Mus musculus: one gene and its partner. The main gene of each other region encodes a partner of the protein of the gene in region 2 in a complex. Each region holds a gene or a part of one and is shown on either strand. Other genes may lie near its edges.

Region 1 (4,344 bases), on a different chromosome or scaffold from region 2:
CACACACACACACACACACACACACACAGTGTTTTTTAAAAGTTTCTTTTTTTTTTTCTTTAAGGCTTTGCCCTTGCTGCAGGTGATCTCTAGGGGATTTCAGCTCATTCTTCAAGTGCTGGCCACAGTATACAATTTGAAAATCACTGATCTTAGCAGGAGCAATTTTCTCTTCTCTGCAACCAAAGGCCTTGCTTGAGAAATCATGCTGACATTCTTAGCTGGTAGGCACAGTGTGGGTGAGGGGGTTATATTCTTTTCATTCCCATTAGGGAAAGCAAATAGATTTCAACTCCTGCATCAACTCTGATCAATTTTCAGTGACTCCCTGGAGCACTGTCCAAAGGGGATCTGGAGCTCCTGCCATGCACTCAGAGAGGAGGGGCACCACACTCTACTAGAGACGCCTGCACTTGGTTCAGCATCTACCAAGGGCCTGACACAGAGCAGGCATTTATTCAATTTTTGTTGAATGAATAAGTAAAGTATTCCCCATCCTTCATCGCTGACCAGGCTAACATGTTCCTAAGGTGGCTTCCCTCTGAAAAATCATCTTTCTTTGTTTTGAGATGCCCTCACATGGACCGGACTGGCCGTGAACTCTTTCTTCTCCTGCCTCTGTCTTTCTTGTGCTGAGATTGCAGGCATGGCCTGCCATTTTAGAATTTACTTTTGCCCCACAGAAATACCTAAGAAGCTGTCTTAAAGTGCTCCAGTGCCTGTCTTTCTCTCCCTCCAAAGCCTCCACATCTCTCCTGTATCCCTGCCTACCTAGTTCTGATTCCTTTCAGTCTTACCTCTGCTGTGTGCACTGTTATTCCCAGTGACTCCCCACCACCAACCCGTCTATTTCCATTCTATGTCTGTCCATTTCCAGCACTCTAGGTGCCCTGTCTTTGCCAAGGAACCCAATACTGAGCTTCCTATGCCTATTGTGTGGCTTCCCTGCAGAACTCTGTGGTACTCCTGAGGGCAAAGACAATGCGCACACAGATGGAGTCTTAGTCTTTGGTTTAGGTGAAATGTCAGCACAGACATGATTGTAGATCTAGAGAGCTCACAGACAGCAGGAGAGATGGGATCATGCAGTATTTTGTAGAGCAGGGCATGGGAAGCAAGCGCTGATCTGCCTGGTGTATCTGAGTGCCCTGTCTTTCCTTATAGTCTAACCTCTGCATTTCTGGAAGGCAAATGTATGGAGAGAGAATTCCAAGGCTGTGTCCATGGGCCAGAATGCTCAATGATATCCACCCCACAAGAATTCCATGTTCCTGGAGACCCTGCTCTATCTCCCTGTATCCTATGTGCCTCTAGAGGGATACAGGGTATGGGGTGCAACAATGACTGGTGCTCTGTAAAGGGAATTGTCTCCGGCAGCCATCTCTGCATCCCACATGGGTCACTCAGACATGCGAGGCATCTGCCCGGGGCTGATGGACAAGAATTTATTACAGCATCCCTGGCTCTGTCCTTGGCTCTTTGAGCTTTTTCCTGGAACACGGGGGGTGGGGGGGAAGGAGGAAAATATTCCCCCCAGATACCAAGAAGAACTTGTTACTTGGGTTTGAGATCTACCAAATATGAGAAGGATGCTTCTTTAGCCAACACGGGCATGTTCCCCTAAGCCCAGTATCTTGAGTGCTTGAGAAAGGAAAGAACCAAAAAAAGAAGTCTGAGGGGGAGAGAGAGAGGTGCTTCTCTCGTGCCTCAATGAAATACATGATCAGTGTGGTCCTTATAGTCACCAGGAGAGTGACTGTTAGACATGCCTCCTTTCAAGTTTGGTTCCATGCACCGTACAAATCAGCAATAGGTCAGAGATGCTCTCCCCCAGCCCCAGCTGACCACTGCCCATCACAAACTCTACGAAAAATATGACTCTCACTACTGGAATTCCATTCCCACCTTGCAAAGAGTGCTCAGAGAGCCTATGCTCCCAGGATGGTGCCACCAAATCCCTGCCCTCTGCCTGCCTCTCCTGAGTCCCATGCTCCCAATAGAAATGACTGGCTTGCTTTGTCCTCTCCCAAGCAGCAATGTACACAGGGCATCGTGGCATATCTAATGCACCCAGTAAGACATAGAGTAGTGTAAGGGCACCATACCCACAATGCAGTAATACTAACCCCAGCAAGAAAGAAAGCTGAAGGAGGGGCATGCAGGGACCTCAGGCTGGCAACGTGTATTTAACCATCTTGGGTAGAAATGCCTACCAGCAAAAACTGTGCAGGTTACAAGCCTTCTCCACAATCTGCTGTTCTGTTCCCCAAAGAAGAGAATTTGAATGGCTTTGGGACAGATGTGGAGAGAGCCCTAGCTTTTTTATTGTTGATGATGGTTTGTTTGGTTGTGTGTGTGTGTGTTTGTGTGTGCACGCTCAAGTTGGGGGTGAAGGTGGGAGGGGACTGGGTTCTTCCTGACAGTTTTTCTACCCACCTGTATTCAACAGTAGTTTTAGTACTAGGTAGGCCCTCACTGGAAAATGAACTCTCAACAGCAAAGCAAGGTTGTATCTGGCCTTCAGGAAGGCGGAAAGCTGTGGCTGCCTCACTACACGTCCAGCCTTGCTTTTTCCATCTGAACGCTGTGGGAAACCTAACCATCTCAAGTCTGCAGACCAAAGACAGGCTTGGAGCCCTGGCTGGCTTTGCAAGAACAGGTTGGTGCCCTGTGGGCACAGGCCGGCCCAGCCAGGAATTTAATGCCTTTCAGCTCCCAACAGCCTTCCCTCTGTCTGCAGAGTCCCTCGCTGCAAAACTACTGAATTCAACACCAAGCTGTCCACATGACCTCCTTCTTGCCTCAGTTTCTCTAATTTCCAGAGCTGGATGGGGTGCTATTAGAAAGACTGGTGGAGGAGAAAGTAGCGCGCCCCGGGCCTTACCTTGCAGCTGCTGGAGCAGGGATCCCTCCGGGGCTCCATGCCTGCCTGCCCCTCTTATAACTGCCCCAGTGCCACTTGCGCAACTGTCCGGCCAGCCCCAGTCCCTGCGAGCGCCAACTCCCGCCCCACCCAGCGGGCCAGCAACAGTGGCAGCAGCAACCTAGTGCTCCATTCTAGGCGCCTCGAGGGAGAACTTCAGCCGCGCCCTCGAGTGCAAGTTTGGGGGCGCTTGGTATGAGCCGGTAATCCTCGAGGTCCGGCCAGCAGCTACTGAGCAGCGGTAGTTTAAGGACGGGTCCCTTGGGATGGTGCTTCCAGCACCGCAGGGAGCAAGAGGCTACAGAAGGCTGGCTTGGGGACAGGGAGACCAGTGAGCCAGGACTCTGCCAGCTGCTTTTTCCGACAGCTCTTTGCATACCTAACCTGGCTGCTCAGAGGAGAAACTGGTCCCAAGCTCAGGGCAACTTGTCTTCCTTTGGTACCCGAAGAACAGTCGTCTCATTTCATCCTGTGACATCACAGAATGCACCTGCTTCGAAGGTCGCAAGTGTGTTTAGGGATGCTCTGGACCAGTCCCAGGGGCAGGTGGCAAGGGCCTGTCCCTGATCAAACAATGTTTGTTTGGTTTGTTGTTGTTGTTGTTTTCGGTTGTTGTTTTTTTTTTTTTTTTTTTTCATTAAGGCAAGAATATCATTGGGTTCCTAATGGGAGGAAACAGATACAGAACAGTTCAGCTTTCTGTCTTAAAACCTCAGCTAGTTGTTAAGGATTAGAGATAGCCAGGGATCCAGGTGTGAAACAACTGGATCAGGCCTATTGAGTTCACCCCAACTGAAAATAGCTTTGAAAACAAACCATCATCCTCAGAACCAGCCAGACAGTTACTTTGAGTAGAAAGACCCTGACTAACCCCTAAATCCTGACTGCCTGGTTTGGTACTACCCGGTACAAAAATAGAAATAGCATGATTTTTTTTATAAGACATTATTAAATGGCTGGGAAACAAACAAGAACAATAGTTCTGACATGAGAAGTTTAAGAAATTAAAACTTTAGCATCCTCAAATAAAGTTCTGAATTTGGTCAACCAAAAATTGTCTTGTTTTCTCTTGTATAAGTACCCACGGGGTAACCTTTATTTCCCTCTTGGCCTGCCAAGCGAGAATTGTTTGCTAACCTGCAAACTATGAAACCTACACACACCTGCGCTGGCTGCTCCTGGCTCCCAGTCCTGCCCGTCTCTTATGGGCGTTCCTGGAGTCAGGTCCATCCCTTCTGCCCACAGAACCCCCCCTGTTTTGCATAGGCCCTGCTCTCCACCACTGGCAGGCTTCCTTGTCTATGGACAGAGAACAGAGCCCTCTGCCATTTACTCTTGAAGTCCTGGTGCCTTCACAGCACCAACAGGAAAGATTTGCAGAGGTGACTTCCAGATTACCATGCACCACCCGGCTGTGCACT
Region 2 (4,497 bases):
ACAGAGCAAAGACTCTGAAGAGGGGACCACCAAAGCAGACAGAAGGGTGGAGCCTGGGAAAAAGAAATTTGGGAAGCACAAACCATGCCACCCTGGATATCAGGGAGAAGATGTGGCAGCCCGGCCGGGACAAGGCTGCCAGAATGGAATGAACACTGAGACCAAATGGCAAAGCTGATGTCATCAGAGACCTACCTGACAGTTCCCTAGGCCTTGAAGAACTTGGGCAGAGCATTCAAAACTGTATAGGAATGAGTTTAAGAGGGGGGGGGGAGTAAAAACACAGAGAGTATAAAAAGCTCATTAATAATATTTTGCTTTGAATGGAAGCGAAGAAAATAACAATATTACAGACACAATATATAGCCTAAATAATCTACAAAAAGATACATTCAACATTCATGATTTTTTTTTCTTTTAAAATAGGCAAAAACAAGGCTGGTGGTAAGGAAGAAGCAAGCACCGAGTCTGGACATCGTCATGTTATCTTTCTTAAATAATGAGTAGAAAAGCTTTGCTCTTATAATTGCCCATTGCAATGATTCGCTATTTGGCTTACCAGCCAATACAATCATCTTATGCATTTCTCCCTATAGTTGTCAGGGTTCAAATGTTAAAAACAGCTAAAGACTAAGATCATGGGTGTGAAAAGACAACAGATATTTTGCAGATATTACTTAAAAGAGCTGCAGGTGCCACTCACTCGGCAGAGTGCTTGCCTAGGAAGCCCTGGGTTTGATTCCCAGCACTACATACACCAGGTGGGCCAGACCTGCAATCCCAGCATCCAGGCAGCAGAGGCTCCAGAAACCCAAGGCCATCCTCCGCAACGAAATGAGTCTGAGATCAGCCTGAGCTACACATTGTTTGTTTGATGGTGTGGGTGTGTGCTTCAGAAGAAATATTCTGAACTGTAAAAGATCAAATCCAAATAGAAAACCCCAAAAGCATGTATGTGCAAAGTCTGGCCAGTAGGTGAACATTCGCACTTTTCTAATTTAATTAAAATTGGAATTTGTAAATCACATAAAATCTTAAGAATTTGAACTGAGCGTAAGCCTTCTCTTCATTTTTAACTCCACAGGACATATTTTTTAGTATGAGTGTTTGCCTCTAAGGATAAAAAAAAATGCAATACAGTATCTGCCAAAAGAATTCATTTATTTTGGCTTTTCCCCCCCTTATTTCCAAGACCTCCCACTTCACAAACACAAACCATTTGGTCCTGTATTAGTGATCTAAGGGCGAAGCAATGACTGTTTTTCCTCGATAAAGTCATAGGAGAGTAGAGCCCCACATTGCAAAAGAGAAAAGGGTCTCTGCCAAGCTCCACAGCTCCCCAAGCTGTGAATGAGCTGGCCTGGATCTAAGAGGCAGATGCCTGCAGTGTTCCCCTTGTTTTTCAAGCAAGCACCAGCAGGGTATCTGAGCTCTAAGGCTCCCTAGCTAATCAGCACAGGATCCACTTCAGTCTGCTCAGTTTCAAAGGAACCGAGCCTCTGCTTCAGGGGGTACTATGAGGACCACAGAGAAACTGGTCGACGTTCTTCCCAGCCAAAAGACAGAGAAAGAACTGAAAATAAGTTAAACTGTGTTCATAAAGGAGTACTTCAAAGTCCTTTTGCTTCTTAGATTGCACACAAAGCATTTGTGGGTGGTAAGACATTATTTCATTTTAGACCATAGCCAACAAAATTAGCTAAAAATGCTTCTATGCCTAGCCTAACTGGCAGTGTCTAAATCCCAAACAATTTTAAAAATACCAACAGTAAAATATTTTATGTGGTTAAAAAAAAAAAAAAAAGCTACTGTCTCCTTCTGTGCCCACATATGTCAAGGTGTTCTGTTTTTCAAAAATTAAGCAAAAAGTACACTGCCACGTTATAGTACTACTGTGTGTGTGTGTGTGTGTAGTACTAATTTCTGATTGATCTGTTTAGTTAACCTCTACTATTTTCTGGGATTCATTCCAAGATTATTAAACATATCACTGAAGTTGCTGTCTCTGTTATTGAGATTCATTTCAGAGACACTCTGAAGTGGTCTGGAAAACCACTTCTTAAACATTCTGCACACAACTTTATGCTAAGAAGCCACAAGTGCCACACAGTATTTGATGAGAAAGCTACAATTTTTGGCTTTCTACAATTTTTTTCTTCCAAATATACAATACAAAAAAAAAAAAAAAAGTACTGTGTGAAAGCCACAGGTTATTTATGTAGTTGCGGTACTTCTTTCTTCCTTTTTCTATTCAGTTTTTCAGTGTTGCAGACATTGGCTTAAAGGTAACATGACTCTTTTAGTGCCAGGTGATCTATTCTTGTATTAATTATATATTTCCAAATTCTTTACAAATGCTATGTTTTCCCTACCACTATTAACTGAAAAATCCTGAAAACATTGATTGTTAATGCACATAAAAACCCCAACCCAAGACCAATGGAGTCTTTTAGTTTCATGAAATTAGCAAGATTAGCAATTACAGAAGTCTAGATTTTTAATATGAGGCACACCTGAGGTATTATTAAAAAGCCCTCTGAAATGAATCCAACCCTCTAAATGTGATAGACAAGAAACCCATGGAGGTTAGGCTAAGCACACACCCCTGAAGATAAATCGGAAACCACAGCTGAACCCAGGTGCTATGTTTCTGGGTCCGGAGCGCTGTCGCTGCGCTTGCGTCACTGTCTGGATACACACAGACCCTTCAGGCCCCTCCGAAGAACTCCTCTGCAGGCAGGAGTCCACGAGTAGCGTCGCGCCCCGACACCCAGTGCCTTAGATGGCCTCAACATACCTGGATTTGCAGAACGATTCCTCGGTCGGGTCTGGTTTTTTCCTCACCGCTGCAAATCCTTTTAAAGGAGTGCTCCGGCTGGGGCTCCGCTTGGGGCTCCGCTTGGGGCTTTGGTTGGCCGGAGGGCTGGCTTTTCTATTTGTTTTGTTTCTAATTTGCTCGGGAAGGGGGAAGAGGGTGGGAAACTTAACCCGCCCCACAGCACATTTTTCTTCCTTGTGTCTTTCAAACCAACCCACCCTCTTTCCGCCTCCGGGACTTAAGGGGTTGATGTCGCAGCCCCGGGCAGTTTCCAAAGTAGTCAGAGGCCTGGAGAAGTTGCGTGGCTCTCCGCAGGTACCGCCCCAGTCTGCTGCCTGGTCCCCAAACGCCCTGCGTCCTGCGTTGCCTTGGGTGGCCTCGCGCCAGGGATTGAGGACTAAAAGAGTGTCCCACCTGTGTCCCGGAGTGGCGTAAAGCAGGGATGCCTGGGCTCTATGCTGCTGGCTCAGAAGGTGCCGACCACTCGTGCGCGGGCGCGACGCTGCGGGGCACTGGCCACTCAGGTGACTGCGCGGCGGGGACGCTGCGCGCGTGGCCGAGGAGCTTGGGCGAAGCTTTGAGGGCTGATTCTGTCCTCTCTGGCCTTTACAGCAGCAGGTGTGGGGTATGCTGCAGTAATAATCGCAAGGAAAGTGCCAAGTGGGAAAGAGAACCAGGAAAGACCCTTACCCCCTACCCCTCCAATAGGACAGTCAGGAGCTCCCTATCCCCTGATGTGCATCAGCCATCACCTCAGCCTTACTTGTCCCAAAGGGAAAGAGGGCATTCCTGCATCTAGTTGATTAATGAACACTTCGTTTTCCATCCTGGAACTCAATGACATTTGACGTAGCAGGTTACAAAATAGATAGATAGATAGATAGATAGATAGATAGATAGATAGATGGATGGATGGATGGAAAAAAATCTGTCCTTAGAGAGTCAGAATCCAAACTCAAAGTACATTTGTTGCTCTCTGCTCAAAATGTGACTCACTCATCTGCTTACTTCCTATGTCTGTTTATTGAGGACTTGATGTATTACATTATTCTCTTTGAACTTGAGGAAGGAGGACATAAGCATTTATAAAATTCCCAGCTGTACAGTAGATCTGAAAGAGAAACAGTAAAGATGAAAGTGAGTAGAGATATTTAGACTGGGTAAATCCTCAGTTACAAGCAAAGGTCTCTCAAGGTTAATTTGACCATCGTTCTCCTAGGAAGGCCATCAAAAAACGGGCTCTACAAGTGAATTGCCTGAATTAACCCAGCCACCACAGGACTGAGAGCATAGCTCCTATCCCATGAGATGAGCCATTACAGAAACTGCCACCCCACCCCACAGGCATGGCCTTTCAGTGACACTGTTCTGACAAGTGGTGGCCCTGAGATCATATGTTAAAGCCACTTCATTCAGAAATGCCACTACTACCGCATAAAAGATTTCATGGGCATCTGGGGTAGGCAACATTAACCTAGAAATGCTAAGCTTTGGTGGAGGGGGTAAAGAGAAGCAAAGCAAGAGGATATGTGTATGCAAGTGCCATGAGGGAATCATGACTTTATATACTTGCTAGGAAAAAGAAAAGAAAAAGAAAAGAAAAGAAAGGAGAGAAAAAGAAGAGAAAGGAAAAGAAAGGAAAGGAAAAGAAAAGAGAAAAAAGAAAAGAAAACCTGTGC

Evidence for each region.
Region 1: the proteins of Lepr (region 2) and Lep are in contact, whole or in part, in a crystal structure (PDB 7Z3R), measured with the Mus musculus proteins. Residues at the interface, in NP_666258.2 of Mus musculus: Tyr439, Leu440, Thr441, Arg466, Ser468, Leu469, Tyr470, Gln499, Pro500, Ile501, Phe502, Leu503, Leu504, Ser505, Val560, Phe561, Glu563, Asn564; in NP_032519.1 of Mus musculus: Lys26, Val27, Asp30, Thr33, Leu34, Lys36, Thr37, Thr40, Arg41, Gln92, Gln96, Asn99, Asp100, Glu102, Asn103, Asp106, Leu107, Leu110.

What each region holds. Positions count from the first base shown.
Region 1 is NC_000072.6:29,058,789-29,063,132, reverse strand, and holds the start of Lep (leptin precursor), read right to left. Parts: upstream 2,913-4,344; 5' UTR 2,885-2,912; intron 1-2,884. UniProt on the Homo sapiens protein: Key player in the regulation of energy balance and body weight control. Once released into the circulation, has central and peripheral effects by binding LEPR, found in many tissues, which results in the activation of several major signaling pathways.
Region 2 is NC_000070.6:101,716,239-101,720,735, reverse strand, and holds the start of Lepr (leptin receptor isoform 1 precursor), read right to left. Parts: upstream 2,831-4,497; 5' UTR 2,798-2,830; intron 1-2,797. UniProt on the Homo sapiens protein: Receptor for hormone LEP/leptin. On ligand binding, mediates LEP central and peripheral effects through the activation of different signaling pathways such as JAK2/STAT3 and MAPK cascade/FOS.